Linked DNA regions of Drosophila melanogaster. The protein of the gene in region 1 interacts with the protein of each later gene in a pairwise test. Each region holds a gene or a part of one and is shown in the gene's direction. Other genes may lie near its edges.

Region 1 (16,582 bases):
TAGCCCCAAAGTCATGGTTAGTTGAACTTTTCATTGTTCCCTTGAACAGTGGCAGCAACTTTTGCAAAATGTGCAAAAAGGAATATTTAATAAGCTACAAATAATAGTATTTGAAGAACAGATCTTGGCCCGAAAGGGAGCAAGAACTCTATACAATACCCATCTGTTCCTTTTCATTTCTTGCTTACTAGATGGGCTCAAGGACATAATTTCTTGAGTCAACTTAAACTTAAAGCATCAAGCCATGAAAGTTTAAGCGCTGACGGCCGCAGAAGGAAATCCTTTATTCGCATGTCCCCTTATTTTGCCACCGCAATTCAAGCTGACTTCTCCGACTTGCAGGACATGCTGGTGTCGTTTCATTGTGACAAATAAACTTACGCACCGGAAATGGCAGGAAAACCAGGCAGGGCGGCAATAAAATGCCAAGGAGGTGCAAAATAAAATAAGAAAAAAACATCAACCAACTTGGTCAGCCTGTAAAAACGGCTCGCATATCAGCTGGTTTACAGCCATTGTTTATTTATGTTGTTGTTGGGTGTGGAAGTTTGGTGGGGGGGGGGGGGGGGAGTACGTACCACTCCGTGCAGCACTCAAATTAAAGGACCCGAAAAAAATGTGATTTCGAAACAACATTCCCCGGCTGACAGGAAAGGCTTTCAGCTGCAATTCACCCGACTGCACTTGCCATAAAGCGAAAATTTCATTAGGCCTACCCGAAAATGGCAAAATGGCAAAAAAGAGCAGTCCCTCACGACGATTAGGGTTGCCGCCCTTCGCATTTTTTATAGTACTTGCTGGCCGAGTATTTGGCCGTAAATTCCAAACCATTTCCATTTTGCACAAAACGTGACTGAGTTTTCCCAAACGCGCCCCCACTGCAAAATCCCCGCCCACTAGCTTCCGTTTTTCGACATCCTCCGGCAAGGGAAACTGTAAATAAATTTTATTTTTCGGTCCGCCAGCAAAGTGCATAGAAAGGTTCGCAGTCCGTAGTCTGTAGTCCGTAGTCCGTAGTCCGCAGTCCGGATTCCCGCATAGAAGCCTTTAAAACGGAACTTTATCTGCATTTAGTACGTAAATAATCGAGTGCCTCGGTCCGAGGATTTCGTCAGGTGAAAAGGCTTTTAGCTGAATTTGGGATGAGTGGGCAGTGCTAATTTGTTTTGGATTGATGGACATGCATTTTGCACGAATGAGCTGGTAGCCCTGGTTAATCGAAGCCTCTCAGCAGGCCCTTGATTTTATCATCGATAGTTTAACATGCTGGAAAATTGGTGAAAAGAGTCAGGTCGTAGCAAAATGAGTGATTTGGTAGGTATCGTTTATAATGACTATCCCATGGAGAGCGAGGAGGATTTCAATAGGCGCAGGAGGGATCTTGATAATATATTTTTCAACTGCAGCACAAGGAAAAATCAGGTGAGTGAAGTTTTCCGAATAAATTACCAAGCCATAATTAAGTGCATAGCACATGTTTCAATCAACTTTTGCTAACCAAAAAAGCACTTATGCTGATTTATTGTAATTAGTATGTGTATGTTATTACCATGATTATGCGCTCTTATTCAAAACGTGTTTTTTTTCTGACAAATAATAATAAGTAACTGCGCAGCTATGAATATTTATATCCTGGTAATTAAATAACATTCAAGTTTTTATGTGTACTCTATATGTATCATCCTACAAACAAAAGGAACAACAATTCGAAGCCAAGCGTCCCATACTAAACTCATCGAACTACAATAAGATATTCGGAGCATCTTTGGGAGATGACATGGACTTCGAGGACTTTCCCGACCTCAACCAACCACTGCCAAATATTTCCATTCACGAGCAACTGCGTCTGGCTTCCGGGAACCGCGAGATAATCGCGAGCATTCAGCGAAATCACCAAAAGCGACTCGAAAACCTTTGGCACTCGGAACTAATAGAAAAACTAGCGCAAGAGTAAAAGCAATTCTAGTTAGAGATAGAAGTTGCTTTTGGGTTTTCCTTCAGAGATTTCTCACAAAAAATATTAAATAAAATGTATTGGTAAAGCCCTGATTACCATGTAAGTTGTTACCAAAACTAGCGTTGTTAATTGTTAACAGGTGAGTGTGCGAGGCTTAATTGCAATTTGCGCAGCGTCATTCGGATAATTAAGTGAGTTTTAACTTGTGCACACACAATTTGCTCATGTGACACATTTGATGGCAATGGCAATGTGAAACGAATGGCAATGGGGCACTTTAAATGCAAAACTCACAGTTTGCCAGGCGAGCCTGTTGAAATCATTTAACGAGCTTGCCAAATTGCCTTATGGAAAATGTTGGAAAAGCGGGCGAAGTGCGTTTCCGCAGTCGAAAGTCAGGACGTCCAGTTTGTGTCAGGATGCATTGATTTATGTCCTGCAGACGTCGAGAGCGGAGGAAAATGACATGAATCTTCATTTGTGAATTGCATTTTATATGACTGCTCTGTCTGAGATTGAGTATTTGTGCGCACATAAGCACGCTTACACTCGCGGTGCAAATAATAGTAACTGCGGTTGGGAAATGGTCGAACATATGTTAGTACATTCTGATATATAGTGGAATCTGTAATAGCACTTCTACTGTACCATTTATTATATTTTTAAGGTGCTATGAGTATAAATATTAACTGCGAGTGTGCTTCGACTCGCATACATATGTTGCAATTAGTTCATCGCCTCCTGACTCCTCACTCAGCTCCACAAAAGGCGACCCAATCCCACCTTCAGGCTCAATTAGGGCAAGTGACCAGCTTTGTGCTCGGCTTTATTTATACAAATGTGTATGCAAATGCGTGTTTTTGTGGACCACTTGGGTGGGGCACCACATGCAGTGCAGTGCATATGCAGGACGAGATTCTTGCTAATGGAATTCCCTCAGACAATCCGGCATTCATTCGACTGCAAAATTTCTTGTTTTGATATGTTTGTTGGCCTGGGCAAATGGAATTTTCCAGTTGCCAGCAGAAAGCACTTCATTTTGTAGTACACTCCCTTCTTACTCTTAAGTATTTGAGGAAGTTATCTTCTGGAAAGATGATTACTTCAAACTTCAATCAAGCTGCTGCACTGACTTATCTTCGGTTGGATTGGGCATCATTTATTTTACCACACAAAATTATAAGGTCAGATTTTAGGAAGGTTCAGCTCGGAGGCCATGCAGAAATTTCCTTGCAGTTAACTACGAAGGTAACGTCTTCATAACTTCCTGTTATTTGCTTAATGAAATTCCCCCGTCGGCAGAGCAGCCTGTGACCCCCATCCCCCGTCATCATCCGAGGCTGAGCTTCAGCTTATTGAAATGCTGAGCTTCGAGGACCTCGACCAACCAACCAACCAACCCACCAACCACCCACTCCTTGAAGCCTTCTAACCCCAATCCTCAATCCGCCCCAGGCCCACTTAAGTCAGCCCCTTTTCAGCTACAACAATGCAAATATTATTCCTTGACACCAGCTGGAGAAGAGGCGACTTCGCCAGCTGTGCTGTCACAGGAGATCCTTCGTTATGTGCTATGTGCATATATATCTATATATAGCTGGGTTGGCTTAGAGACCCTCGGCATTTCCATTCCATGGCTAATAACTTGTTGCTCCAGAACCAGAAATCCCCGATGCCTGTCATAAAGCACTTAATCAAGTTAATAAAAATTGATGGCTGGCACGCAAACAATTTGTTTTTAGATTTCCAGCGGCGGGACGAGGAGGGAAATCCTTAGCTAGTTGGATCTTATGAAATGTGTCAATTTAAAATATGCGTTTTTGGGTCGGGTCACTTAGTTTAATGGAGATAGGCAAGGATAATTTTAATTACACTAATTGCATGTGAAAGATGGATTAAGTTCAGTGCCTTTCCCTTGTTGACATTAGTTTTACCCAGGGCTTTAGATGAAAATGTTCCAACCTCGTCGCGGCTTCAGTTGCCATTTGGCATGGTTCATGCTGCAGACGACCCTCTACGCATCCTGGCTACTGGGACTGTTCCCCTTCACTTTCGATTCCCGGAGAAAGCAGTTGAAACGCTCCCGATGGCTTCTCCTCTACGGTTTCGTTCTGCATTCTCTGGCCATGTGCCTAGCCATGAGTAGCCACTTGGCATCCAAGCAGCGAAGGAAATATAATGCATTTGAGCGCAATCCGCTGTTGGAGAAAATATATATGCAATTTCAGGTTACTACATTCTTCACTATAAGCGTACTACTGCTCATGAATGTTTGGAAAAGCAACACGGTTCGGAAAATTGCCAATGAACTACTCACCCTTGAGGGCCAGGTAAAAGACCTTCTCACTCTGAAGAACTGTCCCAACTTTAACTGTTTCGTGATTAAAAAACATGTGGCTGCAATAGGTCAGTTCGTGATTTCAATTTACTTCTGCCTATGCCAAGAAAATTCGTACCCGAAGATCCTTAAGATCCTTTGCTGCCTGCCATCGGTGGGCTTGCAGCTGATTATAATGCACTTTCATACCGAAATCATTTTGGTCTACCGCTATGTGTGGCTGGTCAATGAAACCCTCGAAGATTCACACCATCTAAGCTCCTCAAGAATTCACGCACTAGCATCCTTGTACGATCGCCTGCTGAAGCTGAGTGAATTGGTGGTAGCGTGCAACGATTTGCAACTGATCCTTATGCTAATTATTTATTTAATCGGAAACACTGTGCAAATCTTTTTCCTCATTGTGCTCGGAGTAAGCATGAATAAGCGGTATATTTACTTAGTGGCTTCCCCACAATTGATCATCAATTTCTGGGACTTCTGGCTGAATATCGTGGTGTGTGATCTTGCCGGAAAGTGTGGAGACCAAACATCAAAGGTCCTGAAACTGTTCACTGATCTGGAGCACGACGATGAAGAGTTAGAGAGAAGTGTGAGTATATACTGTTGGAATTCGAGTTCAAATGAGTACTTTATATATCCTTTTTCCGACAGTTGAATGAATTCGCATGGCTGTGCACCCACCGCAAGTTTCGGTTTCAGCTGTGTGGTCTCTTTTCCATTAACCACAACATGGGCTTTCAAATGATCATCACCAGTTTTCTATACCTGGTTTACCTGCTTCAGTTTGACTTCATGAACTTGTAAAAAACAGTTCTCATTACAGCAACAAATAAAATCTTTAGGATACGCTAAAAGTCTATTCTTAAACTATTGCCGAACAATTCCCCCTTAAATTCGAGGGTAGTGTGTGTCATTATTATTTTCCTGCCAGGAGCGTGACATCCGCGACATATACTTTCCCCGATTCGTGAGTGATACGTGATTGGAAATAATTTAAGATGCTGCGATAAAGCAATTTGCGCAAATTTAAGATGAAAGAGGCGACGGACGGGGCACAGCCACAGCCAAACACACACATAAAATGGAAGCATTTTCACAACTGTCATTGAAATGTCAACATAAATCTACTGACATCCAGTGCCAGGTCCTCTTCGTCCTCTTCGTCCTGTCCTCCTTTCGCCATTTCTCCGCTTCCCTATTTCTCCGCCGCCGCTTTCCCAGCGACTTTTGCGCGCTGCGTGACGTAAATGCTGATGAATATTTCTCATCTGTTGGCTGCGGTTCTCCAGCTGAAGTGGGGCGCGCCGGAGCAGGAGGAGCTGCCTGGTGATGCGGAGCCTTCCCTGCAGTTGGGATGGTGTCCTGCCTTCCAGCTTATCGCAACACGGAAAAAAGTAAACTAATAAAGAGAAGAAGAAGCTCTTGTAAATAATTATTAAATTATCATCCTATATTGTGTCTATACCATGATTTCTATCTAGTACGCATTATTTGCTCTTATACTTTCGGAATTTTCTCCAAGTGTAGTATCATAGCTAAGCAAGAGGACGCTCTGTGACTCCCAACAGCGAAATGGACTTGTCAGTTTTGATGAACTATCTTTGGCTGCCCTGCGCTCGTCCTGTTTCGCCGCTAATGCTAATACCTCTGACAGAGATCTATGTGCGGTCTGATTCATTCGAGTCCCAGTCCCAGTCCCAGTTCCAGTACCAATCCCAACGCAATCCTAGTCCCAGTCTCAGTCGCAGACTCAGTTTCCGCCGGCTTGCAGACCTCAAGATGAGGTCACGTAGAGCTGCGTCGTCGGCCGCTTGTTTGGCTTATTAAATGCTCAGTTGTCCTGCCTCCGAATGCAGGCATTTCGGTCTCGTCCTGCCCCTGCATTTAGTATTAATCTGGCTTAAATGTGATTAATGTCTGGTCTGCGGAAAGGTTACCGCCCCATGCCACATGCCACATGCCCCGCGCCCCAGGAGTCCTGCGGTCTGACAAAGTCTGGATAAACTAAGCCCGGATCAGCAAGTGTAATCAATATTGCCATTAACATTCAGAATTCAATTAGAAGCTGTGTCTGTCCGGCCTTGGAGCATTCCCAAGATGGCTCTGATAAATTTTAATTGGTTTAGAGAAAGCTAGTTTGCGGCTGCTACTTAAAGCCATTAAGCTGTTATGTGGCACAGCATAGTGGATATTTAATTGGAGTTATTCGACAGATCCAATTGGTGTGCGATGTTATTTTACGATTAACAGGTGATGAATAACAACTACCTTTAACACCTGCCCCTTCCGACTCAAGAGCTATCTGAAGAGCTAGTCCACCGCCTTGGGTGGGGGTTTCCCTTTAGGGGTCACCCACTTCCATTGCACCTTTGATGGCGCCATAACTTGTGGCAATATCTGGTGCCCCGAGGTCGAAAGCAGCAGCATTCATTAGCTGTTTGCCGGAGCCGCTGGGTTTGCTTTAAATTTAATTGTTTGCCCGCTGCCGCTGTGCACTTTGTGGTTTAATTAAGACGGGATCGAGCGTATATGGTATATGGCATGTGGTGTACATGGATGTGGGTGGGGCAGACAGACGGCAGCTGCCTTAAACCAAATTACACTAATTGGGTTACCATATGACAGGGCAATGCGTCGACTGTGACATTTGTTTGCCATGGCTTGCCAATGCTTGCATTATGTCCGCCCGTCCACATCCTTCGCCCGCACAAACACAGCCCCCCACACGAATGTGTGGTGTACACTGAGAGAAAAAGCTCACTCAGTACGCAAATTCTTCAGAAGGGCTACCTTCCAAAAGTAAAGCCAAACTGGAGTCTCTAATCCCGTAATATTGATAGTTGTTCGGAAGTCTGAACCCCTAATTGTGCTCAGTGCATCATAAGCCCAGTCGTCAGTAAGTCCTTCACTCCACCGCCGTTTGCACTCGCAGTTGCCAGCTTGTAATAAGCTGCAGAATCATTTTCCGCATGCCGGCTGCTTTGACAGCTGCAATACCGCACATGGCTCAAAGGGTCGAAAAGCGGGCCACATGTGGTGGTATATGGTGGAAAAGGGGGAAAACGGGGCAACGGGCAAAGGATATGGGGAGTTGGAGACCGCACTCGAAATGGAAGCCAAAGGACTCTGGCTTAGTTAATTGAGTGGACAGCAAGGAGGTCTTTAAACTGAGATTGGCACGGATAAGAAGATAAGCATTATAGACTTTGTTGGCCTAATCTCACAGGTTCATTTGATTCTAAGCAGAGAAAAAAGAAAGTATTTTTTAAAAATAGTTTTAGAAACTTCTAGGCTTCGACGGCGGGTTCCATGGACAAGGACCTGCTGCTCACACTCCCGGCGGGGGTCATGATGTCCTCCAGCATTTGGTTGAGCGACTCGGAGCCCAGAGCGTACTCCTGCTTATTGGCACTTCGGTTGTGCATGGCGTCCAAGTAGACGCCACTCGCATTGCGCTCGCTGCTCAGAATGTGCTGCATGACATTGCTGATCTGTTCGGAGCCCAGGATCTTCGGTTGCTCGGTGGCCAGTCCATCGATGACCGCAGTTTCCAGCTGGCTTGAAATTTTGGCCGGCGACTCCTCCTCGTTGGCAGTTTTTAGAAAACGAATCGCCTGTGCAGAGGCCAAGGCTCCGGCCGTAAAAGAGGTCAGCAACTGAGCAATCGAAATCATTTGAAATTTGATATTTTTAAATGATTCGAAAGCGAATTTAGATCATGCTTTGAAAGTTCGTTACGATTGCTATGAATTGAGTTTAAATATTTCAAGGCTACATAAATTAGTAATTAACTCAATAGCCACCACTGATTTGGCTTACAAACTCTTTTGTTTAATATTATTTTTAAAAGCTTTAAATATTTTAAATAGATTTAGCTAGAAAATAGCTGACAGACACATATCGATATATCGCTGCGATAGCCACAGCTGTTCACGCCCGCAGTTTAAGCGATGTGGCAGCCCTGGTCGGCCACCAAAAAATAAACATTGGAATTTTCCCTTAACTTTATAGAGTTTTATCCAATTTGAGCGATGCTGCCGGGCGTTGGAGTGTTCGGAACGGGAGAGATAGCCAATGTGCTGGTGCCGCTGCTGCGGGAGAAAGGATTCGAGGTGCGGGCCATTTGGGGCAGGACCCTGAAAGAGGCGAAAGAGACTGCGACCACGCAGAATGTACAATTCCATACGAACGTAATCGACGATGTCCTGCTGCGGAAGGATGTGGATCTGGTGTTCATCGTGTGCCAGCCCTTTCTGCACGCGGAGATCTCGGTGAAGGCCTTGGGCATCGGGAAGCATGTGGTGTGCGACAAGCCAGCAGGATTGCACCAGCAGGACGCACTCAAAATGGTTCGGGCTTCTCAGTACTATCCCACTCTGATTTCCCTGGTCAATCACCCGCTGAGGTTCCTGCCCGCCTTTACACATATGCGTCGTTGTCTGCAGGAGGAGCTAATTGGCTCTATTGGCGACGTGGTACTCATGGATGTGCGCGTCCAGATGGGAACGCTCTTTCCCGAGAAGTACAACTGGATGTGCGATGCGCAAATGGGCGGCGGTGCCCTGAATCTCGTGGGATCCGTGGTGGACTTGGTCACCTTTCTGCTGCAACAGCAGGCAATAAGAGTGCATGGAGTCCTACGATCCTACACGAAAACCACACCGGCCATCAATGGCATTCGACAAATTACGGCTCCGGATTTCTGCAACTTCCAAATGGAACTGGCCAGTGGAACGCTGGTCACAGTGGCCCTGCACAGTCACACTGTGCCAGCAAAAGCCTTCTCGCAGGAAGTGCTCATCTATGGCAGCAAAGGACACCTGGTGGTCCGCGGCGGCGACCTATTTGTCCTCAAGGAGGGCCAACCCAAAGAGGAAGCTGTTTACGTGGATGTCCAGGATTTGCACTTCGCCACCAACAACTCTTTGCTACCACGACCATATATCAAAGGACTCTGCAAGATGGTGGGCGCTCTGAAGGAAGCCTTCGGCAGCAAGGAGTCCTCCTGGGTTAAGGCTCCAGTTTCCACAGCGGCCACCTTTGAGGACGGCCTCTACGTTCAGGCTGTGGTTGAGGCCATCCGGAAATCGAACGAGACCAGGCAGTGGCAAAGGGTTCAGCTGTCCACCGACAGCCCCCTGAATCACGACCAGATAATTCGATATGCACGCATGTCCACAATGTGAGGGAGTCTGTATTACATAGGTGCAATATATGAATGATTCCACTATATATTTTTTATATAATGTACGTGTTTAGTCTTTAAGCGTTCAAAAGATTCAGGCTTTCCAGCCGGCGTCATCTTCATCAATGTATTTAACTTATTTGTACGGCATCAGCATTTTGCAACTAATAAAATTGATTTGTTAGACATGAGACTTTATATTTATATTAGCTAGAAAACATTTCATGATAGTTAATAGCAAGGAACGAGAAGAAGTCATCAAATGTACCAAACGTTTTATTTTAAAAACAAAATTGTCTACACAAACTAAACGAAATATGTCATATACAAGTAATTCGAACTTAGGGCTAAAACTAAAGCTAATCACTAAAGAGACGAAACAAATTATTGATCACAAAAGTATCTTTGTAGCGGACCTTATAGAAGTAGATGAATATTCAAGACTTGGCATAGCTGGAGTCTTCGCGGAGATCCAGCTCAGTGGATGAAGTATTGTGTTTACAGGGCAAGATGGAAACGGGGTTATAGAGATTGTGTTGCAGTTGATCTTCCTTTTTGGTATATCAGCACTTAAACTGGATTTAAGCTACCCTAAAGCCTTCTTGCGTACAATATTTCAGAGAATATTTAAATAAATACCTAAGCTAACATCGAATCGGTCGATCAATTGTAAAAACACAAAAAGGGTAGTTTCGAATTTGGAACTTAAAACGAGGAGAGATGGAAAGACACCCGACTATGTACAAAAGGATTGCAGCCATGGACCAAACATTGGCCATGGTATCTTATCGCTTGTTGAGCTTGTGCCACAGCGTGATGAGGGTCAGCACATGCATGACTCCAATCACGATGCCCATGAGGATCAGGCAGTCGGACATGTGCACATCCGATATCATCATGTACTTGAGAAAGACCTTCGGGCTGCGGAAGTGGCAATACATCGCAGTCTCGGGGCACTCCAGAAAGGGTCGATCCATGCCGTAAATGGCGTTCAACGCCCCGTGGAATCCGGCCCGGAAGTAACTCAGGTGCCACATCCATCGGAAGAGGGGCGTGATGTCGATGTAGCGCGTGCAGAATCCAAAAACGGAGAACATCACCGCCAGAATGGGTCCCAGAAACACGGCAAGCTGAGGCGGAAAGATTAGTTATTACCAATTCGATTCTCAGTTAGCTGGTCGAGTGTTGAACCCACCTTGGTTGGCAACGTGGCTCCCACGAAGAAGCCCCAGGCTTGGGCACTCAAAGAGGCCATTATGCCCAGCAGCATGAAGTAGTAGATCCGGAATGAGTCCGTGGCATCGTTTCCAGTCAGATGCACGCTGATGATAATGTACATGGCGGTGCAGAGGCTCTGAAATGGGGAAACTCAAATATTAGTAAGCCGTTCGCAAAGGAAGAGATTATTAATTGGCTGATTTGCATTTGATATTAATATTGATTTGTGTGTCATTTAACATTTATGATAATATTATAATTCATTGCATTGATATGGGCCGTGATAAGTGATTAATAGTAGCTAGATTAGATAAAACCAGTATAACTCTATATGTAGAACTTGTGTGACTGGCACAATGAAATGAAAAAGCAGCCACGAGAATGTTGCCCCTAATTACCAAAAATGTTTGCCTTTCGAATCGTGAAACAGTACGGCAAACAAAAGCGTTTCTTTCATTGCCAATTTCACTACATGGCCAACACACTTATATATATATATATATATAAGTATATATAGCCCGGCATATCGGAACAATCACTGCAAAATTACAGGTAGTCGGGCTTACGCGATTCTGTCACGCAAATGAAACGCAAACTCGAACATCGCCGATTTCACATCGTTAATTTGACTTAATGACCGAGCGGCAATTCATTAGACCACTGCCACCTATGGAAGCTTAGCTCTAAATGATGATTAATGACCACCACCGACACCGTTGGGGTTGGGTTCTGATCGCCGTGGCGATCTGTAGTAGGAGCTATTCTATGGCGGTGCTCACCTGGAAGGGTATTTCGAAGGAGATCAACGAGAGGAAGTAGGGACCCAGTTTGTACCAGCGGTTGAAGTGCTCCCGTGTCAACATGTCAATTTCCAGCGGAACTGCGGACAAAATTAATTGATAAACGAGATTGCGATTAAATTCGTTAGGTTCAATGTGATGCGATGCGATGCGAAGTGTGCGCACGAAGGTGAGGGCATTATACATATGTAGGTCAGGTCAGTAAACCGAAACCGGTAAAGATCGGATACCCAGCTCCCCCAGCTCCACCAGCTCCTCCAATGCCTCCTGTCTGCAGCAATTTATTGTAAAAAGAGTCGAGAATCGCTGGCCAACCGGTTTTATTATACAATAATCGCAGCTGGTGTCTCTTGTATTTTATAATTATTTACTTAGCGGGCTTCAGGATCGCATTTTTCGGGGCGAGAAGTGCACTTTTGGCAATTTACATGGAAATTATAGATGACAAAGTGGATCGACAGAGATCTTTTATCGCTAATCAGATCTGGCCTCGCCTCGAGGGTTAATGTTCCAATCAATATATTTTAATCAAGTTTACTATGGCGTATTTGGAACGCTGATAATTTATTATTTGTGGCTATACTAGATTCTTATTCTTTGGCTAATGATCCACTATCTAAGCTCAGAATCTTGGTTCTTTTTTTTTGCCAATTAAGAACCACGAAACTTCTGTGCAAATGCCAATATATTATTGGCTAATCCGCATTCCGCGATAAATAAGTATCTTGACAAAATATCATAGAATGCGGCAGCTAAAGACAAAGCAAAGTTGCCAAAATTGCGCAAGAACAGCTGCAGTTTTTTTCTTTTGGTCAAATCTGGCGACAAATTTTTGCATAAATTGGCTATCCGAGGAAACCAGTGACTGGAAACTGGGAGAGGCCAAGTCCACTCGATAGCACTCGAGAACCACTTGGACAAATGCATTTGGGTGGTGGTTAGATGTGGGCAAGGTGAAGTGAGGCGATTATCTCGGCGATTGCAGCTACTTACATGTCAAGACCACAGCCATTTTACCGGTGTAGACCAAGAGCAGCGTGGAGCCGTACAGATACACGTAGTTTCCCAGCACACTCTGGGCATTGTTGCCCACGTTCATGTACAGATACCCGAAGACGACTCCGATGAAAATGTGCGAGAAGATGCGGGCCAGCAGCAGAAACTGAAAGAGATACGGAGTATTAGGTATGTATGTGGCACACAGGTTGATAAAGATGCAAATCAAGCAACTCAGGCAAACTGGAAATTGAGATACTTTACGTTAGCACACTTTGCTTAACTTTCTCATGCGAATGCAAAGAACTCTTTAATGTCCTTGCAAATATGCTCATTGCTAGTTTGTTGTTAGTTTTTTTGTTCACAGCTGGTTTCTTCACTCGAAGTGACACATTTATGGGCAGTTTTCTCATATGTCATGTCTATAACAGCACTAAGCTTTTAACTATCTGGCGGGAAAGTGGGTCTAAACTATGACATATTGCGTATACCATAACTTAAAAAAACGTTTTTTTTTTTTCAGGTAGCTGGTAATAAGACAAGACTCCCCAATTTAATGGCATTGACCGCAGTTGTACCTTTTGGCAACTAATAGCCAGTAAATGATCGTGCCGTGGATGTTGGTCATTAGAACCGTCTAAAGCCGAAATCTATGTGAAGGCTGAGTGCTGGCTGGCATTACTTTTGAGTTACGAGCCGCTCGAGTGGGCCCGAGATTCTCGGAGTCACCGTTTGGCCGCTTGGCCGCTTGGCCGGTTGACAAGTCAATATCAGCGGAACTGGAGGTGCTAACGAAGCTATGTTCACACTCCACTATTTGAGTGGCCGAGTGCAGTGTGTATGCAGATCCATCGCAGATTGATCGTGTGCAGTCACATAAAAGTGAGTTAGCTCGCTAAGTGGTCATCACACAAGCTGTTCAATTTCACATTCAAACATACGCCAAGTGCTAATTGGACACATTCGGATGATAAACGCCGGCCATCAATCTCGATGGCATTTCTGATTCCGCAGCTTCATATTTATTGTATTTATCTCTTTTTTATGGTAAGTGCTTGAGCCTTTTGCCCTGAGTCATTTGTTTTTACGTAGTGCCCAGTGCCAACGAACTGAAAATCGTTGTTAAGTGTAGAATATATGTTACATAGCTATGAGAAATTCAATTGCACAATTGAGTTGTGTGCATGAATTACTTACTTATGAGCCCACCACAAGTCGCTCTATTAAAAAGTAGCTTAATGCCCTGATTATATGCTTAAGCATAATGTATAAAAAAATTCAGCTAGTGCCCTATTATATTCCGCATGCATGATCTTATATCACCATTAAGAGCATGCATAAGTCCCATTTTCGTATGATTTTTTAGCAAAATCCGAAAGCGTGGCGAAGTGTTCAACCTTCCCAAAAAAAAAAACGTATAACGTATAGTACTTAATGTACGGCCACTAAATGGTAATGTGCAACTGGGCTGTAATTGCCGAGGGAAATATAAAAATAAAGTAAAAAGCGGCTATTTAAAAGATTAGCCATTAAGAATTACGCAGAAACGAGATTAGCCGAAACTGGATTCACTTTTCGAGGACGCCGCACCAATTACCAAATCAACTCGACAGGCCATCAACTCTTAAAGCCGCTGCCCTAAACCGGCTTTCAACTAATTGTTACCCAAGTTACTTTGTGCATTAAAGTTATTGCAGTCGAGTCTTAAAAAGCTAAACTTAAGATTTTTAAAAAGCTGGCAAATATATATAACAAATATATTTGCCATAATTCAAGCCTTGAACTTTGCTGGTTGAATTTAGTTCGTGATATGGAGGTTTCTACTCACGTAGTTTCGCTTGGCGCAAATCAAGATGCGCTGCATCAGGAGCACATACTGCATGAGGAACGAGGCCGATCGAATGGCATTCGGCGGCCTGGCAAGCTCACCGGCTTTGGCAAGCGGCTGTGGCTGTGGCCTCAGATTTTTCTCGAGGAGATCGGGATCCGCGCTCTCGGGGCCGCCGCTCAGTGCCTTGATCTCCTCCAGAGCCAGCTCCTGCGGCGAGGGCTTTACATAGTCGAAGCTGGAGAATTGCGCCGCCGCAAATGCTGCCAGCGCTTCACTGGTTTTTACCACTGCCTTGCCGCCCATGTTTTCTGCAATTTGGAGAAAGTTCAAGTTAGTAAGTGGCAGCTCTAGTGGGGGAAATTTCTGCACCATGCGCCAATAATTGGCAGTTTTCCTTAAAAAAAAAAAAAAAAGCTTTGCTTGTATACATGTGTATACATGTATGTTCGAAATTGCTTGACAGATTTAATAGCTAACGCATTTATAACACCGAAACTAGTAGCACACCTCCTCTACTTTAACGACTCAACTTTAAAACGTGGACAAATAAAGATCGTTATCACTGGACCGTAACAATATTCGCATAAAACTTCATTCAAACTTTTATATTTAGAATAATTTAATACCCGAAACATGACAACAGATCTGATCAGTATAGAACTCACCTTTAATGCTTTCCACGAGGCGTGCCATATCATCACTGCTCATATACCTATGGCGATCCACATCCTCGTAATACTTTTTATTGGCCGCATGGATTAGCTCATTCAGGTCACGTTGATGCTCGCCCACGGCCACTTCCAGTACTGAAATCCATACGATATGATATGTAATGTGGCATGTGGCATGAAAGTGGTGCACTTACGATAGTCAGCTGGGTTGTGGTAACTCGGGCAGACGAGCTGCTGGTCGGCCAGGAAGGGCACCAGTTCGCGCACAGGTCCTTGGTACATGCAGTGGCCATCGACGACGGTGTAGAGCTTGTCGAACATCTCGAAGATGAGGGCACTTGGCTGATGGATGGTGCAGACTATCGTGTGGCCCTGCGACGCCAGTTTCTTCAGCAGAGCCACGCAGGAGCTGCACGAGGAGCTGTCCAGGCCACTGGAATCCGAACAAACGAGCAGAAATACAACTTTCGGTGTGACTCAACTTTGTTTAATTGCTGCCTAACCTTTGAAGATCTAACGAATAACAACCCCATTAAACTAAACCGCTGTCTAACTGACAGCAAAGAACATCAAGCAACAGGGCAACTGAAACTTTAATGGTAGGTGAGAGATTGCGGCTTGAACTTGTACTTGTAGCGAAGTCAAATGAAAACGAGAAACAAGTTTGTTCCCAAAATCCATTTGCCGATGCAAGTCGGGCGGCATTGCAAAGATTTGATCGACTTGCAGTCGGCATTTTATTTGACACTTTGAAAAACGAGTTCTTTCAAGTGTTATTAACTGCCTGAAATCGAGACATACGTATTATTTGAATTACTCGTATCCATATATATCAAATTCAAGTATACACTTTGCCTAATACCCTTCTTTAAATGAATCTCACGACTTCGAGTTTACTAATTGCCAATGAATGATGAAAAGTGAGGTCTAAGAAGAAAAGCATATGATTTTAAAGCAAGTCTTAAAAATAAAGCTTGAGATATTTCTGGAACTGGCAACTCCCTTTGTTTGCGAAGTATCCAGTCATGATTTTCACTTTGAGATTGTTGTCTGAATCAACTTATACTTAGTCATGCCACATGAAAAGGAGGGACTCATACTCATAATCCCCAGCCAGACGACTCAAAATAGCTGGCCCTTTATTGCTGCATAAATCCGATTTTGTAGGTTCATATAACCACAGCAGACTCATCAATCCCTATTAAAGTAATCTACAACTAATGAACAATTTAATTAATTACGGGATTATCTGCCAGATAGCGCAGTAATTAAATGAATAATCAATAAAAAAAATTTAAATAATAAACTGTTTACAGCTCACCGAACACCACTAATCAAAACAAGTCGAAACTATTAAACAGACTATCTGGACAATTGATAAGCTCTAAGTCATATAGACATATAGATGGGGACAAACTTGACTTGTGGGTCAGTTGGTGTTTTTTTTTTTTTTGCTGAACTTCCGCCAGGCAAAGTTTGCTCATCATCGCCATGAGCATCAGAATGCTGGAGATGATCACTATCATGGCTACTCTAAATACATAAGTGTGCTTTTACAATATATAGTGTCACTCACGTCGTCG
Region 2 (16,920 bases), on another chromosome or scaffold:
GGAATCTAAATCGAATGCTAAAGATCTTTCCACAGGACTACAAGATCTTTCCCAAGACCTGGATGCTGCCGGCGGAGTAAGTAAACCCCAGCCTCACACTGAAAGTGCTAATCATTGATACCAACGATTTCAGCTATGGAGATGCCATGAACTACGCGCTCAACCACAAACGCACGTTCATCCTGAAACCGGATTCTGGTGCCCAGGGTCGTGGCATCTGGCTGACAAACGACCTGAAGACCATAGGTCCACATGAGCGCCTCATCTGCCAGACGTACATACACAGGGTAATGTATCCGCTGTTCATCCGGAATCCCATACGCTGGCTAACCATCGCATCCACTTTTCCAGCCCCTGCTCATCGATGGGTACAAGTTCGATCTGCGTGTGTACACCTTGATTACCTCCGTGGATCCCCTGCGCATCTTCGTGTACAACGAGGGATTGGCCAGATTTGCTACGAACAAGTACGTGGAGCCCACGCCCGGAAACGCCAACGATCTGTACATGCACCTGACCAACTACTCGGTGAACAAGCGGAACTCGCACTACGAACTCTGCGACAACGATGACTGCGGCAGTAAGAGGAAGCTGAGCGCAATCAACAACTGGATGCGGCGACACAACTACGATGTGGAGGAGTTCTGGAGCAATGTGGACGACGTGATCATCAAGACGGTGCTGAGTGCGTGGCCAGTGTTGAAGCACAACTACCATGCCTGCTTTCCGGGTCACGACAAGATCCAGGCCTGTTTCGAGATCCTCGGCTTCGACATCCTGGTGGACTGGAAGCTAAAGCCGTACATCCTCGAGGTGAACCACTCGCCCAGCTTCCATACCAACGAGCAGGTGGACAGGGAGGTAAAGCGGCCGCTGATCCGGGACACCTTGAACTTGGTCAGCACGGTGCTGGCGGACAAGAGGCAGATTCTCAAGGAGGATCGCAAGCGGGTCAAGCAGCGGCTGCTCAAGATCAGGGGAGACCCGTAAGTGTCTCATCATCATGTCAGCATCATCATCATTGGTAACCCACATATATATTTCCAGACCCGTACAACGTCCGCGTCTTGGTGGCGGCACCTCCAAGCCCAAAATCGATGCCCAGAAGGGCAGTCCGGATGCCCAACCCGTTGATGTTGAACCCGAAGCTGAGGACCATGGTCCACTGGCCCAGCAAATCGCCTGGGAGGAGAGTCATTTGGGCAATTTCAGGAAGATAATGCCGCCACCAGACTTGAGCAAGCTGGACTACTACACTCGCTTCTATGCCCAGTCGCACCAGGTGTCCATCTTTGCGGAGACGGCGGCCAGTAAAAAGCGAGAGGATCTCGCGCGCAAGATGCGCATCCAGCTCGAGGAGAAGAAGGCCAAGCAGCAGCAGATGCTGAACGGGAAGGCCAAGCGGGATGCTAGGAAACGACACACCGTATTGCTGCCGCGGGCTGTGCGCGAGAAGAACCGTATTAACTTCTTCCGGCTGAGGGAGAACTGGTCGCCGGGCTTCATATCGGACGCGGAGGAGCGACTGCGCCACACCTGGCTGCACATGCGGGCGGAGGCGATACGAACGCTCAAGATCACCGAGAATGTAAGTCGGTTCACTTCCAAAAAAAAAGATACATTTATATTTAAAGGAGATATTCGTCCACAGATCTACAGCAATCTCTACGAAACTGGACTCCTGACCAACACGGACATGGTCGTCTATCCGCATCTCTATCACAACTTGCAGCACGGCTACGACATCAAACGTACTCCATAGTCAGTCATTTCGCCCAACTCCAGCCACACAGACTACTTACACACATCCACGATGTGTTATTCAAATTCGTTATTTAAATTTAAATTGCTGCTCGTCACAAAAAATGTAATAAAATTCTTTCGAATCTTTAAAATAAATATTTGTTTAAATATTCAGCGATTAACACATTTTATGGAATTTTTAGTTGGTATACCTTTAATTTAAGATTCACATTAAAATTTACTCGATTCATAACAATTTGGATACTCTCCTGCTTGGATTGGAATCGCATCTGGCGGACTTGCATCTATATCGTGTATATTTGGCTGGCTGCCCGGCACACAAGCATCGTAAACATTTGCCCCAATCGGATGGCGAGAGCTCCGCCATCGCGGAGATCGAGAATCTGGCATTCCGAGAGCAGTTCGCCGATTCCATTGAGATGGAGAGCAGCGAGTTCAGTCGGTCGAAGGAGCACGCCCCGGGCAGTCGCCAATTAAATTGGGGGAAACTATTTGGAATCTTTTAAAAAAATCGATTGATATTCGAATTGGAGAAAATATCAGCGGCATGTTCAAAGTGTCACAGGAGATGCGTCTGAACACGCAGGCCGCCTCCTCCGCCTCCGCCTGCAGTTCGAGTGGGAGTGGCCTGGAGGGCAATAGTCCGGAGGAGGGCGGTATTTTTGGACGCTACCAGCGAACGCCCGATGCGGGTGAGTAGCGTCGATGAGGAAGTAAACATCGAACCGGCTATTTATACACTACGAATCTCGCGCCCCCCAACTCTTTAGATGCCTATCCCTCGGAATCGCCGCGCGTCTATGTGGCACCCGAGCTGACCGACGCCGGCAAGGTGCAGCTGCTCCACTTTCCCAGCGGCGCGGTGCGAGTGAACAGCCCGCTGGGATTCATCATCAAGCGGAACGGGGTCAAGGGAAACTTCGAGGTGCGCGTCGAAGGTCCCAGTGGTCAGCCCATTCAGCCCGTTCGGCAACAGCAGTTGGATCCGGAGCGCTTTCAGATCGATTGCCAGCTGGACGCCGGAGCGGGTCTCTACAAGGTGCACATCAAGTGCAATTCCGTGACCCTGCCTCGCTCTCCTTTCATCATCGTGGCCATCGCAGGAGCTACCGAGTCCATCGATGGCAAGCCCGCCAGTTCTTCAGGTAGGATATGTCAAAAAAAAGTGCACGAAAGCTGTGATAATCAATTGGCATCTTGTGTGCTTTAGTGCCCATCTCGGACTCGGATGCCAGCCGAGTACAGAGCCGTGGCCTGGGCCTCACCCATGTCAGCTTGGTGGAGCGCAACGAGTTCACCGTGGACTGCGGCCAGGCGGGTAGCAACATGCTCCTGGTGGGCGTACTGGGGCAACGCGGTCCCTGCGAGGAGGTGGTGGTCAGGCACCTGGGACGCGGCATACACAGGGTCACCTACCGCGTGTGCGATCCCGGTGACTACATCCTGGTGGTCAAGTGGGGGGAGCAGCATGTACCCGGATCCCCGTTCAGCTTAAGTGCGGATTAGCCGTAGAAAGTAAATGTGCCTGCATAAATCAGCTGACCTTGATGGGGCGCTACTGCCACCCATCTGCCTCACTTCTCAATGGAATCCTGCGCAGCTTCTCCGGGCGATTTCGCCCCACCTAATGATGATTGCCGATGATAGCGTTATGGGTGCTCCTTGCTGCTCTTTTCCCGCCACTAATGACGTTCGCATTTGGGAGCTGATGCTCTCGGCGCCTCACAACCTAATGATGATGACCGGCGAATATGGAGAATGTGGGTAAGCTGAGTATGAGGGGGCAAATATGTAGTAGTAATGCGTACACTTGAGGTTAGTGCAATAGTCACAAGTTTGGAAAATAGTGAAATATACTTAAGTAAAAGTAATAATACATTTTAAACACTAGCATGCATTTACCATTAAAAATATATTTTAGCTAATGATTCATTAAAATAAATTCACTAAAATAACAGTTATATAAGAGAGGTGCCATCTTAAAATTATATTAAAAATGTTGCACAATAAATTAAGATAAGTATTGTACTATACATATAATAGTTTAATATGATTTGATTTTAAGGGTAACTATTAAGCTGACCATTATTGTTTATAGAAATGATAAAAGGTGGGGGCTGCACGATGATGTTGTAGCTATTAAAATGTCAAGTTCTTGAAGATGATGACATATTCATTTTGTATTCCTAAACAATCTGTACTTAGTAACAAAAGAAAAAGATACATATTTGCAATATAGAAATTTGTAAACACTGAAGAACATAATTGTTTATAATAATATATTTAGGGAGAATGAAAATAGATTGATATTCAACTAAAACCTATTTGAAAGTAAAAATATGTGTCAATAACTAGAAATTTACGTAATATATTTTTCAAAATACAAATAAACAACATTAGTTTGTATGTCTATTATTAATTATCTCAAAGTTTACTATTTATATAGTTGGCTAGGTTCGTAGATTTTTGAATATTTGGTGACCTTGTTATTGGGATTTCGCTTCCCCCAATTTCTTCTTCCTCTGCCTTGCCCCACCCCCATCGCCTATCGCCCCGCCCCGCCAGCACTTTTTCATCGAGACGATGTGCAATTTAATGATGATTACCCCACAAGCAAAGCCAACTGACGACGACTTTGTGGCAGCAGCGACATTATCATTTTTTGTTATTTAGCCCGCTAATGACGTTTGCTTTTGTTGTTGTTGTTGTTGCTCCATCGCACAACCTAATGATGATGATGATGACCGGCACATACGTGTCGGTGTGACTGTGCCAGTGTGTGTGTGCATTATGCTCCAAGAAAAGCGATTTGTTGAAGGGAGGCGGGAGTAGGTGGTGGTGATGATGATGATGAGCGATGAAATGCGCTTGCTTTGTTGCGCCCTAACGAGCCGAGATTGAAGTAAAAGTACTGTATTGAGCACGATAAATGGCAGATGACTTGGTTCTATTGGCCTAAAGCCGCAATAAACATTTTCAATTTCCCACCTTTTGGCGCTGTTCGAAACCCCAACGCACTGCACTGGCGACTGTCTGGCAACGCCATGTCACACTAGCCGCACCGCTCACACCATGTTGCTCTTGCCATGCCATGCTGTCTCGCTCACGCCGAGAACATCATTATAGAGTCGAATTGCGAGAGCTGCGCAGCGTAGGAGCTACAAACTACGTTTTTCGTGTGTTTCCCTCTTGAAGATAATTAAAATTTAATTATTTGACTTATTATTAAGTTTTGTGCCCACGCTGTTGGCGTCGTAGTGTTGTTGTTTCGCCCGTTGTTGCATGGAGCAAAGCGAAAAACGTAACAATAGAACGCAATCAACGCAAGAAAATCGGATGTGGATGCGATGTGAGTGTGTGTATCTCTGAAATGGGAAAAGTGTGTGCGTGTGTGTATTCGAGAAAAGTAACCTCTCACCCCCCGCGAACTTACATATATGTACATTGGCTCCAATGCTGCTATCCCGCAGCCGCCGTCGCCGTCGACGTCGGCGGAGCATCTTCATCCGCATCTGAGCCCAACTCCCTTCTACACTTGAGTTACCGCTTCACTTCGATTCCAAACGTCGCCGCATCCACTTCTCATCTTCTGCTGCTGCCGCAGCTGCTGCATGCATATCGCAACTTGTTTCGCTCGCACAATTAATATTTGTTTACCGTTTACCGTTCGATTTGCATTGCATGCGTGTGTGTTTGTGCGGGAGCGGCTGAGCTGCGTCGGTGTGTGTGAGCCGGCTTAATGATAATTGAAAGCTAGAAAATAGACAAAGTACACCGACTAGTAAATACCCTTTAGTGCCAGAAAATGGGTTGTTAGCCAATGGGATTACGGTACAAACAACACGGAAGCGACAATAACCCATTTTAAAATCATTGGATGCCAAATTTAAAACAGTTCCTATAACATTTTGTTTCCTGTGATAAGAATTGTTAAAAATACTTGCGTTTTAAAAGTTTAAGCTGAAATTAATTAGTGAATATAAATAGAACTTCAAATTGTGCATAATTATATCGTATAGTAATTAATACCCATGACAACTAGGGAATGAGTCCTTCTAGGAGCTTAAAAATACATAAATATTTCTATGAATCCAAACTCTGCTGCAATATAATAGAATTTTATGTGTATTACAACATTATACCCTTTAATTGCCGCGAGAACTAAGTTAACTATGAAATGCAATCATTCGTAACCCTTTTTGTGGGAAGGTATTAGGCTACAAAAGATTAATTACCATTTCAATTCAATTAAATAGTCATCAAATAGGTGGCTGACCATATGTTCGGTTGTTTATTTACGTGTGGTGTGCACTTTTTAAGAAATCCCTGAAACTCATAGGGATTGCAATATTAATACGTCTAACAATACAAATAGTAAACAACGACACCTGCACGTTAACTAATCATTTGATTTATTTCAGGAGCGAATCCGTGTACAGTATGCCAGCCCACTAGATAAACCGCTTCATGTCCTCCATCAGCTGGCAGACGAAGATTGTCGGGCAATCCCATTTGTCGGCAGTAAGACCCATGTGAAATGCCTGTAAGTTGTCTTTGGAATCAGTAGCTTTATCATCAATATAATCGTATACCTATTCGCAGTATGAAAAATTCAACAAAAAGCGCCGACAATGGGAGGATAGTGGTGTTCTAGAGCTGATCAAACTATGGAAAGTCTGCGCCTATGAGCTGCGCACCATTAAACGCAATGGCCATCTGTATGTGGCAATGGCCAAGCAGCTAACCTCGCTGGGCGTCCCTGTTACCGCACTCGAGGTTCACTTTAAAGTCAACAATCTAACGCAGCGCTACCGGCAGGAGCAGAAGACCTTTGAGACCACAGGCATCATCAGCACCTGGAAGTTCTACAGTCAAGTGGATGATGTGTTTAAGAGTCTGGCCGCACACACCGGTTACAAGTTGGTTGAGATATGATAGATACTTCCCATATAGCAATCCCAAACTAACAAAATATCTTATTATTTTCCAGAGACAAACGCATGACAAGTGCGTCCAATACGAGCAGCTTACCATCCACATCCGAGTCACCAGTTTGGAAGAATCCAATGTCTCAGCAAGAGTTTAATAGTAACAACACGGAGGGGTTCTATAAGTAAGCACTAGCATTGGAACACCTTCCTCACAACATGTTTAAATAACAATTGGGATTTGCAGGACCGAGTACGGGATGCATCGGCACTTTATGGACCACTCCCAGCCACCACCCAATGCCGGCAGCGTGGACAACTTCATGGCCTCATCGGCGGCCGTGGCGGCGGTGGCTGCCGCTGCCTCAGCCCGCCTGGCGGATAACAACATGGATCAGCAAATGAACACGGCTGCCGGTGGAAGCGGTGGCAGTGGTGGTGGTGGGGGCAACACCAATGGAGGCGTGGCCAACTACCAGAAGATCAAGAAGTCGCACGAGGACTACGACAAGTTCGTGGACATTGTGAAGAACATCGTGGACACGCACAAGAGCACTCCCGATAAGGTGGACACGTTCGGCGACTTCATCAAATCGTACATGAAGCGCTGGCCGGAGCGGCTGCAGGACGAGGCCATCAACCACATCACCAACTATGTGATCGTGAAGAACATGGAGCACAGCATGGTCAGCAGCCACAATCCCGAGGGGGTGAACAACCGACAATAACAATACAAGCAGGAGCCCAACAACTGAACGAGTTGTTGGACGACGCAGCTCCAGGAACCAGGCACAGAAGCCGAACGAAGTGAGACGTTAGGCGAGGATTACTTAAGGTGGCGCGCAGTTACTTAACCGCATCTGAGTTGCGGCCAAGTTCATTGGACACACACACGGCATACAGTATTTTTTGTATAGTTAAAATATACATTGGAGTTTTAGTTCTCGACGATCGCGCCCTCGATACAGAGTTGACTTCCGTAAAGAGGGGGCTGGATCGATCAATCGTGCATAGAGATCCTAGGGAGTACATTACATTTAGACACCATTTCCTACTGTTAGCTGTAAACTATTATGCATAAATTAATAAATGCTTTAACGATTATTTATGATTGGTAGTAAGAATGCACTATTGACACGTAGTCTTAGGAAAATTGTACACTTTACAATTTAAATAGATATTCAAATTACTTCTTGCTTCTCTTGCAGATCTTGAGTTTACCTAGTGTCCGTCTGCCTCCGCTAGGTTTTCCTTCGTGTAATCCAAAACACGACGCTTCATACGACAGATGTATTGGCTATGCATGAGGTACATTTTGAGGAATCCCTTGATCGCTATGAAAGTCAATCCCCCAAGAAGAGTTTGTTGCAATCTATCGTCGACAGAGCTGTAAAGAACTCTACCCACGTACATGGATATGGTGGGCAAGAGGATGGCTCCACAGACCACCCGCGATGCTGAATATTCGGTCATTGGCGCAGAAGGGTATGGTTCGGTCTGGTGGTCATATTTCCGTCCTAGGCACATCATTGAAAGACTTCGCAGCAATGAATAACATATTCTAATGAAGCGCAACAGGGCATCTTCCCAGGGAATTAAGCGTCCAAGTATCAGAACTACCGAGATTAATGGGAATCCGACCAGAACAACCAACAGGTCTCCCGATTGAATTATTTGATGAACGTGACCTTCCTGACCAGTGATCTGCAAATATGTTTTTGCTCCGAATGAAACCGCTGACCAATAGGCAAAGACCACCGTGAAGACATTGGCCAGGCAATTATATAAGTTTGTTAGGATAAGATCGTTGGTCAGCTCCAAAGCCCTATCGAAAATCCAGAGATTCGGGTATGCAATGGTGTACTCCGTTTGGCATTGTGGACAGGAAACGGCTTGCAGATTGTTGTTTATTCGGGTCTTCTCGTCGATCCAGAGGGAAATGCAGCTCTGGTGCACCCACTTATTGGTTCCTCGGCAGAGACATGGATTCACCCAAGCCTGGCGACCTGCCTCCTTATCGGTCTCAAAACAGATCCAGCAACAGCGCTCCAGTTCCGTCGAATCTCCTCCAGCTGAAGCTTGTGGCGCAGCAACGTTGCTAGCCATTATTGATCTTGTTGTATATAAAACTTGAGTCTGAGAAAACTCCAGGGCATATGTTTACAAATAATACAATACCTACTTTGGCCCAAAATAACTAATGCTAGTTGTTTGTTGTTGAATGTATTTTGTGAAAAGTTATGACAAAGTAGTGTGTTCATTATATTAACTAATAATATTGTACTGATCTATTTCCCACTATCCTTTCCTTATCATCATCACAAAGTGGTCAGGTTAGATGCGTTGGACTTGACACGCCACACTGTTGAACATGTTGGCCGCCTTTCCCGGCACCGAAGGCGCCACCAGGAATCGGGCGAAAGTTCCACCCTTCTTGTCCGCGACACGGCCGGGATTGATCACCAGGCAGTCGTTGACCAAGCGGATGAAATGCCGCTGATCGCTGGGCAAGATGAGCACATTTGGTAGCTGTTTGAGCTGTGCATATTTCAACGCCAGCTGGGAATCGTAGGCCATGTCTTCGTCCGCCGGCGGATACAAAGGATAGAAGGAGCCCTGGTGGAACAAGTGGTTGATGGCCCTGTGCATCCGCTCGCCGGCATTCACAGCAAACTCGTGACTCAACAGGTGGTCCACCACGTCGGTTGAGGTAACGCCCAGCGTAAAGCCATCCAAGTCCACCAGAGATGGATCGGGCAGCATGTATAGATTTGGATAGGTTCTGCGCAGAGCGGGCGGCGGCGTTGGATATACGGAAAGAGCCATGGCATCCTTCTGACTGGTCACCACCAGCACTGCTGTGTGACTACCAATCGACTCCATTATTCCCCCAATCATCTTCTCGAAGAATGTATCGAAGGTCTCGGCCAGTTCGCCGACCATCTTGTGATCGGCATCCAGGAATGGTCCCGTGAGCACCAGCACGTCAGGTCTGTGATCCTTGAGGTACTTGAGCAGGTCGTGCAGCGGTTCGTAGAAGAGATCCGTACTGTCCGTAAAGGGTCCGGAGGCCACCACAAACTGAAGCTCCCTGTCTATTTGCAGTGGCGTTGCTGGCGTCAGTTTGCGCTCTGTGTGTATCTCCTCTACCATGAAGGTTTTGCCCCTGGGTATGAACCCTTTGGCGAGCACCACTTGACCTGGGAATATGCTGGCAGACTTGACCCTGGAGAAGTTGAGCGTGAGCGTTGGGTCCATTTCATCTTCTACATCGTCATCTAAAACGGCCATAAATGCGGAGTGGGCGTCCAGTGGGCCATCGTCCTCGGAATGAATCATTCCCACCGCGTGGAGTCCACCTGCGGACTGCAATACCTGCCTATCCTGCGGATACCAAATGCACTCGGCTGCGCCTGCTTGTCCAAGTTTCTTGTCCACTAGTGCCGGACCGGTTTGGTTGAAGCGGACGCGCAGGTTGTGACATCGGTCGGTCAGCAGGTCGTTCATGTAGCCCAAATTTGCGATGGTCAGCGGGGCGTCGTTGTGCAGCAGTTTTTGAGTCACCGGAACCGTGTGCTCCATTTGTGACTGCCAGCTGGAGCCAGCCAGGAGTTTGGGATGTCCGAAGGTGTCAACTATATCGCCCGGCTTGCCGGCCACTGAGTTGGATGGTGTTTCTAAACCTGCTTTCCTCTTTGCCGATTGGGGTGTATAGCTGGCGGGGCTAAAGAGTGCGGCGCCCTTGAGATTGGCGGTCCGATCCGACTGCTTCTTGGCCTTGGGCGTGTGCAGAGCGGAGGAGTCCACTGCCGATTCGCTGACATAGTCATCCAGCATGGGATCGTCCTCCATGACGCCATAGGTGGCCAGTGAGCTCGTATCCTGTACAGAGGGCGAACCATATGATTTCGCCTTCTGGCCAGTTGCCTTGTATCCCGCCTTGTCCTTCCGCAGCTGCAACACCTTGCGCTCAAAGTCGCCCAGATTCTCGATCGCAGGATCCTCGCCTTGGAGGTGCGACAAACTGAAGGCCATCCACTGCTCCACGAACTCGGTGGCGTCGTGGATGTTGTAGGTAATGGCCAGCTCCGCACACCTGCCCAGAACTGCGTCCGCTGGCTCCACGCCCATCTCGTCGAACTGCTGCTTCAATTCCTCCTCCATTCGTTGTCCTTTCGTTGGGCGTTTAATTTTCGTAAATAAACCTAGCAATTTATTTTGGCGGTAAAAGTGGGCACAGTGTTGCCACCCTATGATGCTTTTAACACCTGCTTGAGTTTTCTTATCGATAAGCATAGTCAGTTCAATAACATAACAGCTCCCATCGAGCTGCGATAACCGTGATCTGTAACCAGTGATTGTTATCGCCCATCCCCAATCGCAGTGCAACAGCTGTTTTAATTTTGTATTGACAAACTTTTTTGTTTACCCGCGTTCAAGCGCAAAACAAGCGAAATTAGCGGCTGTAATCGCGTCATTTTGATTCATGTGACTCCGCACAGTGTCCTGATAATCGCCGCGAAGCAAGTGATTCGCCATGAGCACGGACGATCTGCTGGTGCGCCGCGAAAGGAGTGAAGACTCCCAATCCTCGAGTGTCTCCATTCCGGTTACGCCCACCACCGGAGGTGCCGCGCCTGCGCCCAGCGCCCCCACGTCATCGCTGGACCGCCTGCGGAACACCTTCCGGCGCACGGAGAGCATCTCCTCGCAGATCTTCAGCCACATATCCACACAGTTCTCGAATGCGGCCGCAGCAGCCGCCTCTTCCGAGGTAATCGATGGCACCACCACGTACCCGTATCCCGACGAGCCCGCACCACCTGTTGTACCTGTTGCGCCGGACACGGTGGCGAGCGCCAGTGCTTCATCCCCGTCGCCATCGAAACTGAAAGCAAAGCGACTGAAACGCGGTGAGTCCGAATTATTATTCATTCGATGATAAGCAGCAATGGAAACCAAATTTCCATTGTGCGCTAATAATAATATGTTAAGTAATAATGTTGCATATATAAAATATATTATATATAATATATATAAATATATACACATATATATTTAATATAACAATTTAGGTACTCAAAACTATTCTAAAATGTATTTATTAATTAGTATTAGCAATTTCGTGGGCTGTGCGAAACTGTCGTTGAAATATTTCGGTACTTGTATAAATAATATGATTAAAAATAACTTAAAAGTGCATTGGGAAAGTGTCAAAGGTGATTTGCGCACCACACACAGCGTGACCATCGAGAACACCCCCAACGAAAGCTCGCGAGGAGCTTGCGAGCTTGGCGCACTGGACAAATCAATAGGATAAAGAACTTTTTGCCAGTCTTACTCAACGCGTACACAACAGGATAACGGTGCAAAATCAAAGCGGCGAGAACTTTCGGTTATTTTGTTAATTTCAGAAGTAAAACCCTCTGGAAAAGAGGTTTACAAAAGGAAAAAACCCCTCTAAGGTAATGAAAAAACAGTTGAGGGAAAGCGGCAGCAAAGGAAACTCGGAACTTATTGAACAGCTAATATCGATATATGTATATATCTGTATTTTTATGGACGCCCACGCACACACACACACTACTCAGGCGTACTTTGAAGCAGCAGCGAAATGCGTGGACTTGTCGAGGATACAAAAAGGACCAAGTTGTCGTCGGCGAACAACAACAACCTCAGCAGCACCAGCGGCAGCGGTCGCATCAAGTCGAGCAGCCTTGCAACAGGATCAAGTGCCAGCGGCAGCAGCTCGAAGCCCTTGAGAAGTGCAGTGAAAACGCCAACATCGGGCAGCGCGACGTCATTGTCGTCAGGAACAATGGCTGCCAAGAAGGCGCCTCAAACGGGGCAACAACAAGTAGGCAAGTCTGCAAAGTCCGCCACGGCAGCAACTCCAACTGGCACAACAGCAACAGCAATTGGAGCAACGGCAACAACAAGGGCGCAAGCAGCAGCGGCGAAGAGCCAAAAGGGTCAGAATCCACCCTCACAACAAGTGCAGCCGAAACAGCAGCCGCCACAACCGCAACAGACACAGCAGCAACCCCTGGTGTTGCAGCAACAACAGGCGAGCAACAGCAGCAATACGATTGCCTTGCCAAAGGCATCGCATGCCAACACCAGCGAGGAGCTAGCCGGCGGTGTCCAGGACACCATTTACCTGTGCAATTTCCGGGTATCCGTCGATGGCGAGTGGCTGTGCCTCAAGGAGCTGCAGGACATTGATGTGGCCGGCGGAACGGGCAACCAGGCAGCTCAGACCAGTGAGAAACTGGCAGGCGGCAGTAGTTCCCAAACGGGCGGCTTCGGGTCCAACTACAATGTGGGCTCCAGCTCCAGCAAGCGCAACAGCAAACGCTTCTCCGGACTGTCCACCGGCAGTGGAAGTGGCGGCAACGCCGGTGGAGGAGGCGGCTTGGACATCACCGACAATGGTATTATGGCAATTGAAAACCTTATCGGCCGCCGGCTGTGCGACATGGTCAATAGTGGCTCCTCGGCACTCGGCCAGTCCCAGTCGCACTCCCAGTCGCAGCACCAGAGTGTTGGCCTCTTCGCCGAGTGGTCGCATCTCTGTAGGTCGCTTCTTGTTGCCTCTGTTGCCAAGCACGCTCCTACTTTGTAGTTTCTCTTCATTTCTCGTTAGATTGCAAGGGCCATACAAATCCGAAGAACTCGAAGAGTCAAGTCATCATATTCTATAGGCTTCAGACTTTTCTACGTTATTAGTTTTCTTAAAATATTGTTTTTTATTAACATTTTTATCTTTCTTCGTAAGATATTGGCATTTGTTTATTGTGTAGACATTAGCTTTTATAGAAGACGACAGATTCTTATCAAGCACGAAAGTCTTTAAAATGTGTGAATGGCTAGATCTATGTTCTCGATTTTATTGGCCCTTGTAATCTTCCATCTTGTTGCATGCCTCTTTGCATTGTTGCACATTTAGTTGCTTGCTCTTAGTTAAAAGTTAAGTGATTTACCTAGGAAATACCCTAAGGATTAGGATTTCAATTAGGCAGTTAAAACTCCCATTTTAAAACTTCATTTTCCTTTCAATGGAGAAATGGAAAAGTTAAAAATCATAGGGTTTATTAACTTATCAAAAAATATACACTTAAGAAATAGGAAGGTTAAAAAACGAAAAAGGGTTAAAAAATTGCCAACTAGTTATCGTCAAAAGTCGTTTCCCAGCTGGGAGAGTCCTTTAAATACTGAAAAACCGTCAAGATCATTATTTTGGCATATAACATTTTGCACATCCCACTCACCTCTGCACCGCCCTTCTGTCGACCGGCAGGGACATCTGGTTTCTCCTGCGACTTCTTCCTGTGCAGAAGAGGATCATCGGATGTATCCTTGTACATTTCCGGTGTTGCTTTTAAGATGGCAGCATCAGAGGATTAAGTGAATGAATCGATTAGGCTTAAGAAATGACCAGTCATGCACTTACCTATCCTCACTTGTTTGGACAATCGCCTTTCTGGTGATGGCTGCTTTTTGTCTTCTGAGGATTTGGTCTGCTGGTGACTCTGAGTTCAGGATATCAAAAGCACGCGAAGCACTGATAACTTACCTCTTTCTTACGACCCGTCTCAAAGTCCTTATGCTTCTTCCGCCTGTCTTCTTCGCGGGCATGCCTATGTCGATGTCTATCCTCTCTGCTGTCCACTTCGCTGTCCGACGAGGGAATGACGGATAGGGTCGACTTTAGAGCGGGCTTACAAACGTCCCTGTAGGGAACTCGGCTAGGAGACGAATCATCGGAAAGAAGTTTGAGGGATGTGACCTGCTTTCCCACCGCATCTCGGCTCTTGTCCGGTGCGTAGTAGTCCCCTCCTTTCGCTCGGGAGAACTTCAGTGGCATGCACTTCCTGTTGAACTGACATCCCAGCGACGAAGATGAGGTGAAGGAATCTAGCTCGGGATTATTCGCATATCCTATAAACTCGAGCAGTTAGATTTAGTTGATTTAGTTGCCACAAACTTATTTGACTTACGATTGCTCGGCACCGATCTTTGTGAGGTGGAGCGACCAGAACCGGAGTAGTAGTACCGCCGAGTAGCATCACTTTCGTCCTTTTCATCTTTTTTTTCTTTTTCCTTCTCTGGTTCTTTGGCTTTCAGCGGCTCCTTTTCTTTTCTTGGCCTCTCTTTCGGCGGAGGAGCCTCTGCATCCGTTGGGGCAACCCTCTTCTTCCTGCCCCTTCGCATGCAACAGCAAATGATGAGCAGAATGAGGAGCAGAAGCAGGGTCAGAAAGGCGGCAATGCACCAGATCAGTGTCTCATCGTTGTCGCACTCGCGGCACTCTTCCACTTCCTCCGGCCGACTCTGAACCTTATCCAATCCGGTAAGCCATTCGTCCTGGTGCATTGGCTCCGGCCCCGACTCCTCGACTGGCCCTGAAGCCTCCTGCCAGTGAATAGCGGAGCGACTCATCTTGCGGGAGTCCTCTTTGGGACAGGATGGTGATCCCTGCCCGTCATTCTTATTGGTTGGCGCCCGGGCCTCCTCCTCCGCATTCTTCGCTTCTTTCGACAGCCTCTCCTGAATCTGCAGAATACCGCCCAGACCCGGGTAGAATACATCATCGCCATAGTGCATTTCCAGATTTTCCTTTATCCAGGCGAGCAACTGGCGATTGTAATTAGCCTGGCTAATGCCCTGAAACCGATGACAGTTGGTTAGGGTTTGGAAGAACTTCACCACGACAAATTCCGATTTGGGAGAACGCAGATTGTAGATGCGTCGCTTTCGAAAGGGCAAGTATATGTTGCCCATATAGCCATTCTCATCGAGCGTCTCCAGTCGAGGCAGGCTCACAATCATGCTCCCTTGATCCGGCTCTTGGGAAATGCATGTTTGATCCAGTTGAGCACAGCTGGAGGCATCCTCCTGGGAATAGCAGCTCTTGGGCAGCTTGACGGGTTCGATCTTTCGTACCTTGAACTGCGACAATATATCCTTGTCCGGAGCTCGCCACCCATTTCCGTTCGTATTGAGCGTCGTTTTGCACTGCTGATAAATGTTCACCAAGCGCTCCACGGTGTTCAGCTTGATGCGTCCGGCATAGAAGGATAACTGGGCCATGGGCACCAGATAGTAGCGCAGATAGCCACCCAGGGCATCGTAGAATGCTCTCTGCATGATGAGCCGCGTATCATCGTCTGACATTCGCTTCACGATCTGGTTAACAGTATTAAAGTACCGGAGAAGCATGTAGACAAGGCTGTCGGTGAGAAGGGATTGTGGAAAGGATTTCGGCACCAGCAGCTCGAAGTCTTTGCGTGCAGATATGATAGCAATGTCCTCCGTGGAAAAGCAATTCTTGCGGTAGTTGCCAAACAGATTGGTGCCCAGGAATGAGTCCGATTCTGTGGTACTCCTTGTCGCCTTTTGCAGCTCGTTGGGCAGATCCTTAAACCATTCATGCTCTTGGTATCTGCGCGGCGGGGAATAGGGAGGATTGGTCACCTGTTCATCGACCGTCTCGATCAGGCCATTGCGGTAATCCCGCAGCTCCGAGCTGAGCATGGATTGCAGGGTCAGTTCGTTTTGGAAATCGTTTGTGGGCACCTCCAAAGTAGCCAGGTCGATGCTGTATATGGGACAACCCCCGGGTGCCAGAAAGAAAAGCAGCCAGGAGAGCACATGAAGTTTCATTACTCAGTTAATCAGTTGTCAGTTGTTTTGAAGCAAATTTCTGCGCCGGCCGAGTCTTTAATCTGGGAACCACCGTTCCTCCATTTGCAGCCCGGGACACGGCGGAAATTGAGCGCAGTAATCTGGTGAATATCTGCAAGCTGGTGGTCAAGGAGCTGTTGGAGCAGTCGCTGCGTTATGGTCGCATGCTGGACTCGGATCACCTGCCGTTGCAGCATTTCTTCATCGTCATCGAGCATGTCCTGGGGCATGGATTGCGCCCGAAGAAGGGTCTGCTGGGACCGAGGAAGGAATTGTGGGATCTGCTGCAGAGCGTCGAGCATTACTGCCCGGAGGCGCAGGACATTACGGCGAGTGTAAGGGATCTGCCCACCGTTCGTACCCACATTGGCCGCGCTCGAGCCTGGCTGAGGATCGCTTTGATGCAAAAGAAGCTATCGGATTACCTGCAGGCACTCATCGAGCACCGGGAGGATTCACTCTTCGACTACTATGAGCCACATGCTCTGATGATGAGCGATGAGGTTAGGCTGCGCGCAATCTTCTCAAGGAATCCCTTTAA

Evidence for each region.
Region 2: the proteins of CG17712 (region 1) and CG5984 interact in a two-hybrid assay, tested with the Drosophila melanogaster proteins (one large-scale study listed by BioGRID).

Annotation. Positions count from the first base shown.
Region 1 is NT_033779.5:1,743,773-1,760,354, reverse strand, and holds CG17712 (uncharacterized protein), read left to right. Parts: upstream 1-8,232; 5' UTR 8,233-8,329; coding exon 8,330-9,484; 3' UTR 9,485-9,668; downstream 9,669-16,582. Other genes in the region: CG17650 (uncharacterized protein), read left to right, coding at 1,303-1,422, 1,697-1,954; Gr22f (gustatory receptor 22f), read left to right, coding at 3,904-4,887, 4,950-5,102; CG17648 (uncharacterized protein), read right to left, coding at 7,586-7,972; CG17646 (uncharacterized protein), read right to left, coding at 10,269-10,613, 10,679-10,837, 11,481-11,581, 12,495-12,663, 14,326-14,636, 14,994-15,134, 15,194-15,432, 16,576-16,582.
Region 2 is NT_033777.3:27,233,210-27,250,129, reverse strand, and holds CG5984 (uncharacterized protein), read left to right. Parts: upstream 1-2,137; 5' UTR 2,138-2,311; coding exon 2,312-2,456; intron 2,457-2,534; coding exon 2,535-2,909; intron 2,910-2,974; coding exon 2,975-3,270; 3' UTR 3,271-3,727; downstream 3,728-16,920. Other genes in the region: TTLL6B (tubulin tyrosine ligase-like 6B), read left to right, coding at 1-76, 134-287, 352-986, 1,048-1,588, 1,652-1,762; CG18766 (uncharacterized protein), read left to right, coding at 6,302-6,307, 6,367-6,683, 6,755-6,877, 6,940-7,420; CG17991 (uncharacterized protein), read right to left, coding at 7,914-8,798; PolA2 (DNA polymerase alpha subunit 2), read right to left, coding at 9,027-10,856; CG31068 (uncharacterized protein), read right to left, coding at 13,859-13,906, 13,964-14,070, 14,146-14,215, 14,269-14,633, 14,693-16,358; CG31064 (uncharacterized protein), read left to right, coding at 12,307-13,126, 16,449-16,882.